Arabidopsis thaliana: one gene and its partners. Each later gene encodes a partner of the first gene's protein in a complex. Each region holds a gene or a part of one and is shown in the gene's direction. Other genes may lie near its edges.

The links.
Region 2: the proteins of COP13 (region 1) and CSN6B are in contact, whole or in part, in a cryo-EM structure (PDB 9IS6), measured with the Arabidopsis thaliana proteins. Residues at the interface, in NP_568296.1 of Arabidopsis thaliana: Tyr367 (codon at 3,835), Lys368 (codon at 3,838), Ser369 (codon at 3,841), Met372 (codon at 3,850), Ile373 (codon at 3,853), Met376 (codon at 3,862), Val379 (codon at 3,871), Ile380 (codon at 3,874), Arg382 (codon at 3,880), Thr383 (codon at 4,064), Ile384 (codon at 4,067), Ser387 (codon at 4,076), Leu390 (codon at 4,085), Met393 (codon at 4,094), Asp394 (codon at 4,097), Leu397 (codon at 4,106), Asp400 (codon at 4,115), Leu402 (codon at 4,121), Tyr403 (codon at 4,124), Lys406 (codon at 4,133); in NP_567746.1 of Arabidopsis thaliana: Glu268 (codon at 3,562), Leu271 (codon at 3,571), Met272 (codon at 3,574), Tyr274 (codon at 3,709), Asn275 (codon at 3,712), Leu278 (codon at 3,721), Ser281 (codon at 3,730), Tyr282 (codon at 3,733), Met285 (codon at 3,742), Cys289 (codon at 3,754), Met293 (codon at 4,148), Val296 (codon at 4,157), Lys299 (codon at 4,166), Phe300 (codon at 4,169), Thr302 (codon at 4,175), Ala303 (codon at 4,178), Tyr304 (codon at 4,181), Asp305 (codon at 4,184).
Region 3: the proteins of COP13 (region 1) and COP9 are in contact, whole or in part, in a cryo-EM structure (PDB 9IS6), measured with the Arabidopsis thaliana proteins. Residues at the interface, in NP_568296.1 of Arabidopsis thaliana: Asp121 (codon at 2,341), Leu123 (codon at 2,347), Arg124 (codon at 2,350), Pro128 (codon at 2,362), Ala157 (codon at 2,449), Lys158 (codon at 2,452), Gly193 (codon at 2,693), Leu194 (codon at 2,696), Lys195 (codon at 2,699), Lys332 (codon at 3,638), Glu335 (codon at 3,647), Met336 (codon at 3,650), Leu339 (codon at 3,659), Gln340 (codon at 3,662), Ile342 (codon at 3,760), Gln343 (codon at 3,763), Ala349 (codon at 3,781), Leu350 (codon at 3,784), Ile351 (codon at 3,787), Asn352 (codon at 3,790), Gln353 (codon at 3,793), Lys354 (codon at 3,796), Asp377 (codon at 3,865), Ile380 (codon at 3,874), Gln381 (codon at 3,877), Ile384 (codon at 4,067), Lys388 (codon at 4,079); in NP_193147.1 of Arabidopsis thaliana: Met26 (codon at 2,052), Leu27 (codon at 2,055), Ala30 (codon at 2,172), Ser31 (codon at 2,175), Gly33 (codon at 2,181), Ile34 (codon at 2,184), Glu35 (codon at 2,187), Tyr36 (codon at 2,190), Asp56 (codon at 2,624), Phe60 (codon at 2,636), Arg64 (codon at 2,648), His89 (codon at 2,723), Tyr91 (codon at 2,729), Leu125 (codon at 3,339), Ser128 (codon at 3,348), Ala129 (codon at 3,351), Tyr130 (codon at 3,354), Ser131 (codon at 3,357), Thr132 (codon at 3,360), Ile133 (codon at 3,363), Thr134 (codon at 3,366), Asp137 (codon at 3,375), Phe141 (codon at 3,387), Met166 (codon at 3,697), Arg187 (codon at 3,760), Glu190 (codon at 3,769), Tyr191 (codon at 3,772), His194 (codon at 3,781).

Annotation. Positions count from the first base shown.
Region 1 is NC_003076.8:4,596,272-4,601,346, forward strand, and holds COP13 (Proteasome component (PCI) domain protein), read left to right. Parts: upstream 1-1,596; 5' UTR 1,597-1,698; coding exon 1,699-1,895; intron 1,896-2,077; coding exon 2,078-2,193; intron 2,194-2,293; coding exon 2,294-2,540; intron 2,541-2,676; coding exon 2,677-2,734; intron 2,735-2,821; coding exon 2,822-2,911; intron 2,912-3,111; coding exon 3,112-3,177; intron 3,178-3,330; coding exon 3,331-3,420; intron 3,421-3,508; coding exon 3,509-3,667; coding exon of another isoform or gene 3,668-3,715; exon of another isoform or gene 3,716-3,759; coding exon 3,760-3,881; intron 3,882-4,062; coding exon 4,063-4,135; intron 4,136-4,218; coding exon 4,219-4,290; 3' UTR 4,291-4,564; downstream 4,565-5,075. Other genes in the region: AT5G14240 (Thioredoxin superfamily protein), read right to left, coding at 1-124, 317-522, 623-766, 1,050-1,297; AT5G14260 (Rubisco methyltransferase family protein), read left to right, coding at 4,868-5,075. UniProt on the Arabidopsis thaliana protein: Component of the COP9 signalosome complex (CSN), a complex involved in various cellular and developmental processes such as photomorphogenesis and auxin and jasmonate responses.
Region 2 is NC_003075.7:13,353,102-13,358,161, forward strand, and holds CSN6B (COP9 signalosome subunit 6B), read left to right. Parts: upstream 1-1,890; 5' UTR 1,891-2,127; coding exon 2,128-2,425; intron 2,426-2,505; coding exon 2,506-2,594; intron 2,595-2,681; coding exon 2,682-2,775; intron 2,776-2,870; coding exon 2,871-2,932; intron 2,933-3,022; coding exon 3,023-3,101; intron 3,102-3,192; coding exon 3,193-3,285; intron 3,286-3,475; coding exon 3,476-3,576; intron 3,577-3,705; coding exon 3,706-3,761; intron 3,762-4,143; coding exon 4,144-4,225; 3' UTR 4,226-4,494; downstream 4,495-5,060. Other genes in the region: WRKY34 (WRKY DNA-binding protein 34), read right to left, coding at 4,495-5,026. UniProt on the Arabidopsis thaliana protein: Component of the COP9 signalosome complex (CSN), a complex involved in various cellular and developmental processes such as photomorphogenesis and auxin and jasmonate responses.
Region 3 is NC_003075.7:8,132,348-8,136,843, reverse strand, and holds COP9 (COP9 signalosome, subunit CSN8), read left to right. Parts: upstream 1-1,855; 5' UTR 1,856-1,976; coding exon 1,977-2,060; intron 2,061-2,168; coding exon 2,169-2,248; intron 2,249-2,622; coding exon 2,623-2,804; intron 2,805-3,312; coding exon 3,313-3,420; intron 3,421-3,655; coding exon 3,656-3,795; 3' UTR 3,796-3,964; downstream 3,965-4,496. Other genes in the region: AT4G14120 (uncharacterized protein), read right to left, coding at 32-219, 414-507, 597-845, 946-1,154, 1,293-1,659. UniProt on the Arabidopsis thaliana protein: Component of the COP9 signalosome complex (CSN), a complex involved in various cellular and developmental processes such as photomorphogenesis and auxin and jasmonate responses.

The DNA of each region.
Region 1 (5,075 bases):
TTCACCACTCGTTCTATGAACTGTCTTCGAACTCCAGCCATCACAGCTTCCCTCGAGGAGTCATCGTCTCCTCCTTTGCCATCGTTAAGAACTGGCTCTGATTGACACAGAAGTAAGGCTACACCTGAAAAACCAAATCAGTTGCAAGTATGTTAGACATGTGCCTAAGACCAATCTGCTCAAAGCATGATACAATCGCCAATGTGGTCACATCAGGTCTCAGATCAGACAAAGGCTAGAGATGAGACATGACATAATCATCAAACACAAATAAGCACAGATTACATCAGACAAACAAGGGTTCATTCAAACTTACTCTCTGGGGTGCACCTACGGCCAAAGCTCTTTAAGCCTACATGAGTTCCTTTGATGGCGCCATGGTGGTACACCAGCAAGGTAGGAAGATTGCAATCAGGGTAGTTCGGAATACAATCAGTAGATATTATCTTAACGAACTTTGTTGCTGGGTATCTACTACCCAATTCGTCTAGACAACCCAATAGCAAACTACATTCTGCAACACTATCAGAGAACAACAAGAAATAAACATGAGTTAATAGTGTTTCAAGCATGTAGTAAAGAATGGCTCAACAAGAGTTCACGAATACTTGAAAAAACATACCCATCTTTATAGAGACATACAACAACCCAATCTTCAGCAGAAGCTTGCGTAACCTCCCTCACGAAATCAGAGCCCGAGATGGGAGTCACTGTTCCATATCTTTTAACTTTAGCAGCCTCTCTTAGCTCAGACAACCTCTTCTTCCTATGAAAGCATCAAAACACATTAGTGCCTGTGAATCATGAAGTGTGTTGCACAATTATGTTTAGCCTATTCATCAACATCTCAAATAAGATACTACCCTCAATTGCATTCATATCCAAAACACAAACGAATCGAGAAAAACCAGAGCTTGATAATTGCATTCCCTAGCTACATGGCAACAGATCCGAGAAAATTGAATTCACAATCCACCAAGGCAAGGATTCTCCAGGGAAAGTTAAGATTGTAAATACAAAAATCAGAATGTTCGATTCGATCTACGAACCTGTATTCTTCGAGAAAGCGATCATCGTCGAGATCTTTGTCGTCCTCAAGATCCTCAAGCTCCTCCTCTGTCTTCTTATCAAACCATGCCTGATCCTTAGGAGCTGAAGACTCGTCTTCCGCCGGAGTATACGCCGGAGGTTTGAAAGCCGGAGCCTTCTCCGGTAGATTCCCCAATTTCCGCTGGATATCATCCCATTGAGTTGACGCTCCTTCAATGTCCTTATACACGAAATGATAATCCGCCATCAAAGTATAACCACCTACGAAGCTTCAAAGAGAACCTTTGAATCTGAGAGGAGAAAAAGCAGATTGCTTTGACACTCTGTGATCGCAATCTCGTTCTTTCTCTGGAAAGACGAATGATAAAAGGCCATCCCCGAAATTGGTCTGGCTAAACCGACAATTACCATCTGGTACATTTCGAACCGGGAATATTTGGTTTAAAAGCCGGTTAGATATTGGTTTATTATTCTAGAGTAATGTATTAGACTCTTAACCGTTCGGAGGGTTCGTATATATATTATGAGAGCATGTATTTTTATGGAGAAGATCCAGAGATAATTAAACAAACAGTTTAGCAAAAGATTTTGAGAGGGAGAAAAAGGGCGATCGATTAGGGTTTTTGTGTTTTCGTCTTAGTATCGAAGATGATCGGAGCTGTGAACTCGGTGGAGGCTGTGATAACGTCAATCCAAGGTTTATCGGGGAGTCCAGAGGATTTATCTGCACTTCACGATCTTTTGAGAGGAGCTCAAGACTCGCTCCGAGCCGAACCAGGTGTTAATTTCTCTACTCTTGACCAGCTCGACGCCTCGAAGCACTCTCTCGGTTACCTGTATTTCCTGTGAGTTTTAACCTATTGGTAGATTAGGTTTTTGTTACTAGTTTGTGTATACTTTGAGGCTGATTGATGATTTTGGTTATTGGAACTTGATGTGTGTGATTAGGTCGAAGTTTAACAAGGAGAATTGTCTATGTTATTCGATTTCTGATCTTTGAGTTTTTTGTATGGTTTGATTGTTACAGTGAGGTTCTTACCTGTGGTCCAGTGTCGAAGGAGAAAGCTGCTTATGAGATACCGATAATTGCACGGTTCATCAATTCTTGTGATGCTGGGCAGATTCGTTTGGCGAGCTATAAATGTAATTTACTGACACTTAATGAGAGCTTATCTTGTCTTAATGTGTTTTCTTTTCTTTTTTCTTTGGGGAGATGGATGATGTTATTATATTGATTTTGCAGTTGTATCTCTTTGTAAGATATTGAAAGACCATGTTATAGCACTGGGAGATCCGTTGCGAGGAGTAGGGCCACTGTTAAACGCTGTTCAGAAGCTTCAGGTCTCCTCCAAGCGTTTGACTGCATTGCATCCAGATGTTCTTCAACTCTGTTTGCAGGCGAAATCGTACAAATCTGGTTTCTCCATTCTTAGTGATGATATCGTGGAGATTGACCAGCCAAGAGACTTTTTTCTCTATAGCTATTATGGGTAAGCAATTTTTCCTCATTGCTATCTGTTTTTTTCCTTTGATCAATAGATGTGTAAACACATTAAATCCATCCCTGTTGGGTTTGTTTTATAGTATTTTCTTATTCTGGTCCTTGATTACCTGGACTTTTGATAGGGGAATGATTTGTATTGGACTGAAGAGATTTCAGAAAGCATTAGAGCTTCTTTACAATGTAAGGCATTTTTATTTTTTCTTACGTGCTTTTTATACATTAAGGACTTTCGTTTTAGTTTTAACTCAACCTAAGTACTTGTATCAGGTTGTGACTGCTCCTATGCATCAAGTCAATGCCATAGCTCTTGAGGCGTACAAAAAGTACATATTGGTGTCTCTCATTCACAATGGGCAGGTAAGGCTGTGTTCTTTATATTTTACTTTCTTTGTTTATCTAGTTTTCGGTCATGGGAGCATATTGCACGAGTCTGAATCAACTGTATGTTTTTGAGAAATGTTGGTTTCACAATTACATCCTGTGTCTGATTTTAATTTCAAGCATTGGTTAATCTTATGATGTTTTTCTTATAATCTTGTTTGATTTTACTTGTGCAGTTTACTAACACTCTCCCCAAGTGTGCTTCTACAGCAGCACAGAGGAGCTTCAAGAACTATACCGGAGTAAGTTTGAACCCGATCATTAGTTGTATTTTTCATGTTTGAATGGAGTCTGGTCCCTTTTTCACTTCAGTCCAAAGATTTCAGTTGTTTTGTACTCCATACCAGCTAAATCTATTTTCAGGCTTATGATTTTATCGTTCACCCTTTTCTCAGCCTTACATTGAACTGGGTAATTGTTACAACGACGGGAAGATTGGTGAACTAGAGGCATTGGTTGTGGCCAGGAATGCAGAATTTGAAGAGGTAAATTGCCTCTAAACATTTACCATAGTTTCTGTACCAATATTAAATATTCATCCCCTTCCATAACTTGGGCGAAATGCTCTTTCAGGATAAGAACCTTGGATTAGTTAAGCAAGCAGTGTCATCCCTTTACAAGCGTAACATTCTGAGATTGACACAGAAGTACTTGACCCTGTCGCTTCAAGATATAGCCAACATGGTCCAACTTGGTAATGCTAAGGAGGCGGAAATGCATGTGCTTCAGATGGTATTGTGTCCCACACTTGATTTTTGGAAGCTAGCTTTATTAGTTTAACTGGTATGTTGGACAATATCATTTTTTTCTTTACAAACCTGCAGATCCAGGATGGTCAGATACATGCCCTTATCAACCAGAAAGACGGGATGGTCAGATTCTTGGAGGACCCTGAGCAGTACAAATCTAGTGAGATGATTGAGATCATGGATTCTGTTATACAAAGGTATGTCTACAGAACTAAGTGTTTTGATATGGTTTTTTTTTGGGAAACATTGCTTGAATGTTGAAACTCGTAATAAGGAGTGCATAATTAGCACTTGGAATCAAGTTGATATGGAGATGACTGTTTTGCCAAAGGAAAGTAGTAGCATCAAACAAGTTATGTGTTTTGATAAAAATTTCAGGACTATTGGTCTGTCGAAGAATCTCTTAGCCATGGATGAGAGCTTATCATGTGACCCTTTATACTTGGGAAAGGTAATTTAATACCATATTCCATTAGTCTTCTGTCCTGGAAACCCATGTTTCTCTGACTAAGCCGTTTGACTACTTTTTTTCAGGTAGGAAGGGAAAGACAAAGGTACGACTTTGGAGACGATTTCGATACTGTTCCTCAGAAGTTCTCCATGTAAACAGCGAAAGTCGAGAAGCACCAACAAAACTTGGCTCAAAGACAACCGTAGTGTGAATCTTGAGAATGTTACTTTTGATTTCTTTGTTCATTTTTGTTGGTTTAAAAAGTTTCATATTTTTGTCACAATTGCCAACAAGTAGAGAAGACCATTATGGACCCTCAAATCTTTTATTTCCCTTTTACTTAAAAAATTTTCCCCTTGCGCGTGTATCTCTCGTGCTAACTTACGCGAGCGTTTTATCATTTGCAAGGGTTAGAGAAGTCTCAACGGCGTCGTATCAAACTCGTTTTTAACTGCGTGTCGTTTGGGGAATCTGATAGACTCCTTGTTGTGGTGGGCTAGTTTCAGGCCCATTCTCGCTAAGCGCCACGTAGATTTTTATTTCTTTACTCATTTTTTATGTCGCATCTTCCCCATTTCGTTTTCAACCTGATTTCTCCATTTCCCTCTCTTATCCTCAATGAAAAAAATAATCTGAGAAAACGCAAAAGAAGAACGGAGCAAAATCCTCAGAATCGTCGCCGGAGAATCTTTACGTTTCGACATAATCGGAATTTTGGAATTGATAATTCCGATGGAAGGGGTTATCACATGTTTCCATACGAAATGCGTCTCTCTTCCAATTCGTTCTTTCCCACTTTCTAGGGTTTCTTCACTTCCTCGGTGGAGGAACAATAAATTGATCTCTTCATCGCGATCGGTTCATCTAAGAAGCTTGTGCGTTTCGAGCTCAGATACTTTAGTCGCGAGCGGTTCACCAAAGGAAGACGAGAGGCAGAGCA
Region 2 (5,060 bases), on another chromosome or scaffold:
ATAGATAACCCCAATTTCCGAGAGGAACGTTAGGAGAAAGTTTTTGAAAATTTACAAAACTTTCTGTTAGTAGATGCTTAATTTCATCAGTGTTTTCCAAGCAATTTTGAATTAAGGATTAATAAAATTGTTATGTATATTATGAAATAATGAAGATATTTCGCTATCTCTAGAGTCTAAAGAGATTAGCAGTTGGTGCCTTGGTGGTTGACAAAAGAAAAGAAGAAGAGATTAGCAGTTGCGTTTAACATTGGTTTTATCTAGAAAGATGAACTGATGGTTACATATAAAACTAGTCGTTGTCTGTCAGTGTCCACTAAAGACTATTTTCTTCTTTTGATATACATTTCTAAATATACAACAATATCATTTCTCCGAGGTTTGTGAATTGTTTAGGTATAAAATAGTTTTCTACAATAACTTTTGCTATCGGGTGCAAAGACATTCTACCATAGAACGAGTTTAGTATAGTGTCATTTCGTAGATTCTTTATTCGGATTGGTTTTTCAATATCAACAAAATTCTGGTTCATTTTCTTCCCTCCTATAAACGAAGGTAAAAAGAATGAAGAAAAAAGAAAAGAAAGAATATTTTGTTAATGCATTATCTAACGTGTTAATGTGTCACTTTCATTTTTCTTAATCGTTTGTTGAAAACTTTTTGCAGTTGATTTCAGGAAAACGGAACACACATATATATATATATATGTCTTTTATTTTCAATACGGACCAAATCCATCATTTGCTAATCAGTGAGAAAACTAAATCGTGGTCTACTAGTTTATATAAATTGAAAAAAGAATCATAAATAATATGTCACATATCCAACCTAAAGATTTATGTCTATACATGTAAAAATGTAAATGAGCATATTCCCAAATTTCCCACAAGTATATAGCACTACCTACACTCACGCTTCTTCAAAGTGAAGGCGATGGTGGAAAAAAGCGTAGACGATGACTTGATAAGATTGACTGAAGAAAAGAAAAAAAGTTATCATAAGTCAAAAAGCATGTCGTTAGAGTTTGACGAGATCCCATGCATGATTATATTGTCGGATACAATTGTTTGAACAATACGGTTGGAAAAATCTACCGTAATATGAAGACTTGAATGACATAACTAAAGATTGTACCTTGCAAGCCAGCAATGTGTTAATGATATGAGTAAGGGTGCAGAGGCTGCGGCTGGTGGCTACTGGCTAGTGATAAGCAATTTACGATGTAATGACAGATATATCATAGGAGACTAGGAGTTATATATGGTATATATAGAATCTAAAATAACATATTTATCAATTTACTATATTAAGTTTTATGGTTCCAAACTCAAAACTAATTGTTTATGAGTAGATTTGGTTTATATACTGTATATTACTCATATTCTATTTCCACTTTTAATGTGGGATTTCTCATAAACTATATACAGTTATATTTTTAATTAATGAAATAACAATAATACAGATTTAAATGTAGCCTTAACTATTTTTATGAAATTTAAATGAAATTTAATTTAAAAGATTGCATTCAGAATACAAAACTGTAATATTCTGTAAAATATTGATAGGTACTACTTACAACATAGGAAACATATTTAAAGATATGTTATATAAACTAAAAATAGTTTAAAATATCAATATATATATATATATATATATATATTACGAAAAGAAGAATTAAAACAGACTACACACATAATAAAATTTTAATAGTAACACTTACAAACATATCCAATAATATTAAATAAAATTAATTCATTATGATCTTTATGTTATTTCTATATACTCAAACCAAAAAAAAAGAAGTAAATGATTCAAAATCCAATCATAATTATTTTTCAAATTCATTAAAATACAAGAAATTTCATATTAAAAAAATAGATATTTCTTTCAAAGATTTATATTCAAATTATAAATATATACTAAAACGCTAAAAAATTAAGTACATGCTATAATCTTTTCCATTATTTTTCTAACAAAAGAAAGTTATATATGGGCTAAACTTAGAAGGAAAGCCCAAGAGGCCAAGACTATATAAAGATTCATGACCCGAGTTTAAGATCCGATTTCAGAATTTGGGACTAAAGGAGGACAACGACAAGCGCCGGGAAAAAATCGAGAGCGACAACAATGGCGCCTTCTTCGTCGAGCGGTCTCACGTTCAAGCTACATCCTCTGGTGATGCTTAACATATCCGATCACTTCACTAGGGTTAAAACTCAGCTTAATCCTCCCGCCGCTTCTTGCGCCACCGGGAATGGCTCCAACAACGCCGACGCGATGTTACTGCAAAACCCTAGGGTTTATGGCTGCGTCATCGGTCTCCAGAGAGGTCGTACGGTTGAGATCTTCAACAGTTTCGAGCTGATATTCGATCCTGCTCTTGATACTCTCGACAGATCCTTCCTCGAGAAGAAGCAAGAACTCTGTAAGTTTACTTACACTCGCTCACTTTTGTTGTCGATTGTTTGATACTCTTGCTAATTTGTGAGTTTTGTTATTTTTTAGATAAGAAGGTGTTCCCTGACTTCTACGTATTGGGATGGTATTCTACGGGAAGTGACGCTACCGAATCTGATATGCATATCCACAAAGCTGTGAGTAGTGTAGCTTTAATGTTTAATATAAATTTAATTGAATTTAGGATTCTCATTGTACTGATTTGTTGAGGTTTTCATCTACAGCTGATGGACATTAATGAATCTCCTGTGTATGTTCTTTTAAATCCTGCTATCAATCATGCACAGAAGGATCTTCCTGTGACTATCTACGAAAGCGGTAAAAATTGGTTATTTGCATCACTGATTGTCTTATTGTTTTATAGATTATAATCTTGCTAATCCTGTCTTTTTGATTGTTTTCAAAATTTGAAGAATTTCATGTCATTGATGGAATTCCTCAGTCGATTTTCGTGCATACCAGCTACACAATTGAGGTATGTGTTTAGGCCACTTGATCTGTAATCTATCTATGTGATATGAGAGTGGACTTTCAATAACATTGCAATGATTGTAAACGCGTGCAGACAGTTGAAGCTGAAAGAATATCTGTTGATCATGTTGCACATCTTAAGCCATCTGATGGAGGCTCAGCTGCGACTCAGTGTAAGCTTTATTATCACTTCATATTTATCATAATCTGTTCTTTCTTTTTCATCTGCATGGAATTTTAGGTTGATTCCTCGATTTTGTGCAGTGGCTGCTCATCTTACTGGAATACATAGTGCCATCAAGATGCTTAATAGCAGAATCAGAGTGCTATACCAGCATATTGTCGCTATGCAGAAAGGTATATTCTTGCTCAAGTCCCCACTCTCGGTCCCTCTTCAATTTGTTAATCAAGCTTTTGTGACCTGTCCCTTGATCTTAGAATATTTCTATGTGTTTTCCTACGGGGAAGAAAGAATTAAAAGGGTGTTAGAAGATGATTTTGAGCAAGAGTAATGTGGTACTAATGACTTATGTGATTCTGCATCTAGGTGATAAACCTTGTGAGAACTCAGTTCTGAGACAAGTATCTAGTCTGCTCAGAAGTTTGCCTGCCGCAGAATCAGAGAAGTTCAATGAAAATTTCTTGATGGTAAGTAGTACCTTACCTTTTTCTAGCAATGTTGGTTAAATAAAGTGGCCTTCGAATCTCTTAAATTCTTAATGTAGCTTGTTGTTGTGAATGATATCTTTATAAATATGATGTTCTCTTCTTTTGCAGGAGTACAACGACAAATTGCTGATGTCTTACCTAGCAATGATCACGAATTGTACCAGGTATGTGCTCGACACGCTATTCCATTTAACTATTTGAATAAAAGAATGATGGACATGCATGCAAATCTTTTGCTTGATACAATGCAATGTTTTACGATACCAAGACAGATGAAATCACCAGTACTTGGTTGAGGCTGACATTGAGATAGTTTGTTTTATTTAGATTAAGAACTAAATCTAGGACCTTGCTCAATTATCCTTGTTATAATTAAGATACTGAGCCTGTAGTAGCTAAGGGAATATAAGCTTCTTTTTAAAAAAAAAATCTAATCTTGTGCTACACCTTGACCAATCCATATGTCAATTTCATTCCAACGAAATGTCCTGAAAGAATCCTTTGTATATTTGATCTCTTACTCTCCTTTTTCCCCCCAAAATGCAGCAACATGAACGAGGTGGTTGACAAATTCAACACTGCATACGACAAACACAGCCGAAGAGGTGGTAGGACTGCGTTCATGTAAAGATTAGTTTCAATGTAAAAAAACCTTTTCTTTCTTTTGGTGGTCTGGTCCCTAAGTGAAAATTTAGAACTCTTTTAAGGCATTTCACTTTTCGGAACCAAACAAACAGCTAGGAAGCTTTTCTTCTGTTTAAGCTTTGTCTAGACAGAAGCTAAGTTTAGGCCTAACTAAATTTTGCGACAAGACTGTAAAAACAAAACAGCTTTTACCTTCTCTCAATTTTTCATTTATTCAAAAATTTGAGCAATCAGTGAACAAAGAGATTTGTTTCATATCTGTCGTAATCTACTCAACATCTCTCTGCATATCAATGAGCTCGCTGACAAATCAAGTCCCTGTTGTGGTGACACTGGTTCCACCTTCGGCTGTGCTGCTAACTGCAACATTAGGCCAGTTGGATCCCCAATGTCAGGCGCCTGCAGGCTGGTAAGCTTCTCTTGCCCAATAGTTAGACCAGGCATTGAAAGATCAGAAAGCTCAGATTGGCCTATGTAAACGGAGAAACCTGTAGGATGCCTCAGGTGTGACTGGAAGTCAAATAGAGATGAGTTGGCTGTGGCCAGTCCCTCAGATCTACTGTGTGGCATTGGATAGTGCACATTGTGGTTGTGGGTCTGAGTCGCTAAACTGCCTTGGAGAGTCCCTGAACTGCCTGCACCGACGTGGCTGCTGTTGCGTGCTGCTGGTACAACGTGGGTGTGCTTGCCTATATAAGTTGTTAGTACGCTCTTGAAGTCATCAGAGGCTCTCTCTACATGCTTCGTTACGGTACATCCATTAGCTGTGCATTTATAGTAGCTCCTGAAAACATAGAAAACTGATTTTATTAAATTCA
Region 3 (4,496 bases), on another chromosome or scaffold:
TATACATGACTTTGTTACTAACTGATTAACACTAACAGCTAAACTCAGCTAACAAAAGTTGAGTTTCTTGCTCATTCTTTGGATCAGCTAGTGGCGTCTCAACGTTGTTAGAGCATGTATCTAAATCTGTAACTTCATTTGATGCCCCTTTAGCCTCAATAGCTGAAGCATTCTCCTCTATATTCTTCTGAGGATCTGTATGCGTGGTTTCAGGAGTTCCTAGAAGAACAATGAAAGAAAAGAGACATCAATTTCTAAGGCTACCAATTCTGACTTTATAATTTCAATACAAGCTAATATCATGCATTTATACTATCTTACAATTTACCAAGCCACAGAAGACAGTATTATTATCTGACTAGTACTGACATTGAATTATACCGTGTGCTAAACATGAATATAAAGAGACTAACCATGATTATCCTCTGAGTTCTCTTTGAGATATGAAAGCATTCTTCTGTAATTTACAGAACCTGGCACTTTAAATAGCTTGCGCCGGCAGCACAGCTGTTTCATGTCACAACAGGGAAAATGTCAAAAACAGATTCTTAAATAAGGAACAAGACTGCAGCTTCTTAAAAAAAAACAGATCATACAGAAATTTTGTTGCCACTGGATGAAGTCATCTTCTTGAAAGGGCTATTGTTTCCATGAGCTTTAACAAAGCTATTGGCAGATACGGTTTCAGGAAGTCGGTAATTTGCTGCCATCAATTCACCTCTTTCATCCTTAGGATCTTTTGCATCACCATCTCGGGTAACATCTGCAGCTTCCATCAAGTAAGGAAGCATTCTTCTATAGCTCACAGAGCCAGGGTTCTTGAAAATCTTTTCCGGATGACGAATCTGTATACATATCACAAGAAGAAAATTAAGCAACCAACGAAAAGCCAATATTGTAGTTTAAACGCATCATTTGCTATAAAACCATGAGTAAAAAACATACCACTTTGCTGCCGAGATTGGTACCAACTTTCTTCCCAGAGACCTCACTGATCTCTTGATTGATAGAACCTGCTTCATTTTTCACCAAAGAAAGCTCACCGGTGAACATTCCTAAATCCGGTGGCGTCGTTTGTGAGCATTCCACTACTTCTAAATCACCTCCAGTAGCCACTAATCCATCAACAAGATATTTGCTTCCTTCTCTCATAACTGTTTTCACCATTGTGTAATCATTATAGTTTCTAAACAGATATTGAAATTTCCTAATTCCACCTTCATTATATCAACATTCTCCTAAATTTTCTTAGAAAAACTTGTACAAGAAAAAGACCTTAAAATAAGAATTACCATTAGAATTCGGAGTATCGCAAGGAGATTCCACATTTAGCTCCTTGGTTAGATTTCCCCCTTTCACATGAAAGTCCCAATCACTAGAGATGGAACTAGGAGAGAATACGCGTCTGAGACACAGATTCTTCACGGTGACACGAGAACAAGTTCGGGGCATTTGAGTAACAATTTTCCCTTTGATCGGTGACGCATGATGGTGACGAAGATCCGTGACAATGTGAGACAATGGGGATGCAAATCGAACGGAGGAACGATTGCTCTGAGTTCGTAATTTGCTTGCCATAAGGTTCTGAGAGGTAGTATAACGAACTGAAGAAGACGAAAATCGCATCTTCTTCCTCAATATAGGATCTGATTCGGCCATGGTAGAACTCGCGCCAAGAGAGAGCTACAGAGAGAGAGAGAGAGTGTGTGTGAGAGTGAGAGAGACTGTTTGTTATTTTGGCGGGAACAGACCGGGTGGCTTTATGATGTTTGGCGGGAAACTAAGGCTTAGTGGGCTTGGCCCATTTATCCTCTTGTGTTTGGTCAATTTTTTGGTCGGTTTAAGTAAACCGTATTGAAAAGATTATTAAAACCTGTAAATCTCACAGAATTTATTTTTCTTTTCCCTGGAGTGGTTTTGGGAGTAGAATTGTCATCTTCGCAAAAGCTTCGAGAGTAGTGCAATCGAAACAAGTCATGGATCTTTCGCCTGTTAAGGAAGCTTTGGCCGCCAAATCCTTTGACAAAATCGCCGATATCTGCGATACTCTCATGCTTCAGGTTCGTAATTTCTCTCGCTGTCGTTGTTTCTGATGTTCATTAGGGTTTTGTGAAGTGGATTTTGTGGTGTTAATCGTTCGATTTATCGCTTCTTAATTTTTTTTATAGGTTGCTTCCGAAGGAATTGAATATCATGATGATTGGCCTTACGCAATCCATCTTCTGGGTTACTTTTACGTTGACGATTGGTGAGTTTATTTTCTTCTTTGATGTATTTGTTTGCGTTGTGAACCTAAAGTTAGTTCCTTTATGAAATTAGAGATTGTTTCGTTGAACTCTTGTGAATTTTAGCGCGTCAAAGTTGTTCTTACTACTTCGATTGCTAGGTCCTAGGTTGAATCTAAGGTCTAAAGTCTGCTTTTTACATTACCTTGTTTCTATCCAGTGATTTGAAAAATTAAAACTTGACACAAGTTAGTAGTTGTTGAGACCCATTTAACATTTTTTTCCTTTGTGTATTGATAGTGAGTGTAGTATGTTGAAACTATTGAGTTATGGTTGTGCCTTCTTGACTATGGATTTGGTTTTGATGTTTTGCTGTGCTTGTTTGGAAATACTGCAGTGATAGCGCACGTTTCCTCTGGAAAAGGATACCTACAGCTATCAAGGAGAGGAAGCCTGAAGTTGTTGCAGCTTGGGGGATTGGTCAGAAGCTGTGGACACACGACTATGCAGGTGTATATGAAGCTATTCGGGGTTATGATTGGAGTCAAGAAGCTAAAGATATGGTTGCTGCCTTCTCAGGTAAATTTTTTCTCTGTTTATGACTTCTTAGCTAGTATGAATTGGTTTCTTGAACTAAGCTTGTTGATTGCTTATGTAGTTGTGTACTTTTATTACTTCATATCCCTCTTTAGGTTTTGAGCTTTGATATACATATTGAGATCGAATAGTTGTTTTATTGTTTTAACTTGTGAGGCCTAGTTTAGGATTTCTGTTATGCACAGAACCACCTTTCATCTTATCATTGAACTATTGGAACTCGAATTTGAATCAAATTTCATCAATGTATGTGCCTTATCACTTCTTCATTAGAAAGTAGTTGCTTCTGTGGTCTAACTGAGAGAGAGGTAGGTAGACTCACACAGGAGGAACGAGTAAGCAGTTGACAGACTTTTCCAACCAAATGTCTAAACGTTGATCTGAATTTTGTGAAGTTGTACCTTTTTCCACATCAATTGTTCAACACCTGACCTTTATGGGTCACTTTCCATCAGATTCTAATTCTATTTCTGAATTGGTTTTGTTGTAGATCTTTACACAAAAAGGATGTTTCAGCTTTTGTTGTCTGCCTACTCCACAATTACCATCCATGATTTAGCTCTTTTCCTAGGGATGACGGAGGATGATGCCACAACTTGTAAGCTTCTTTCTGCAATTTCCTTTGCTTACAAAAGATTAAGTACCTCATTTCACATTTCTATTGAATTCTACTGAATTGATTCTTATATTGATACTTTTGAAAAATGTCGAAGAGTTTGTGGCAATGTCTTAGCTTAGTGTTATTGTAGGCATGAATCTTATGACAACCATATATGTTACGGAATCAGAATTAACAGTATAATTGTTTTCTTTATTGCTGGATATATACACAGATGTTGTAGAGAATGGATGGACAGTGGATGCAGCTTCTCAAATGGCGAGTGTGAAGAAACAAGCTGTTAAAAGAGAGCAAAAGGTGGATTCATCGAAGCTACAACGCTTGACGGAGTATGTGTTCCACCTTGAACATTAAAACTAAGTGCCGATCTCCTATTAAGATAGTGAAATTCTAAGAACAGAATTCGTTTTTGAGAGATTTCACAATGACTGATTCTAAGTTGCAACATATCTTGACTCTTTGAGTATATGATGAATAACTCCTACCAATTTTACTCTTATAAGATCAGTTTACACCAACAGGCGAACTAAAACAAACATTTAAAAGATCAGTTTACACAAAAGACGAACTGAAACAAACAAAAGATGAAGTCAATATTATGAGCCAAAAAGGACACAGCCTAAATAACACACGTTTTCAGAACAAAATTAGGCAGAAACAAGAGAAGATCATTTTAGCGACTATAACAAGCTAGCCAATCTCTGAGATAAAAGATGATAATCTTCAAACCGGAGAGGTACTCTAGAAGAATAGGAGCCATTTGTCGATCTAGTAGATGACAAGCTGGGGTTATCAGAGATTAATAATTCTTAATTTATTATTAAATTATCGATAAATGAACAATTTTAAATTTATTGAGAGATTTTACTATTCTTTTATAATTTTTAAAACTGGTTTATGTGAAAAGCAGTTTTTGTAGTTATAATCAACATCCTTTTAAAAATAATGAAAAATATAAAAAGTAAATAATTATTAAGTCTAGAAAACAAAAAGAAAAAAAAATTGATACTGTAGAAATATTAGAAATAAACTCTTCAAAAGATTAATACAAATTT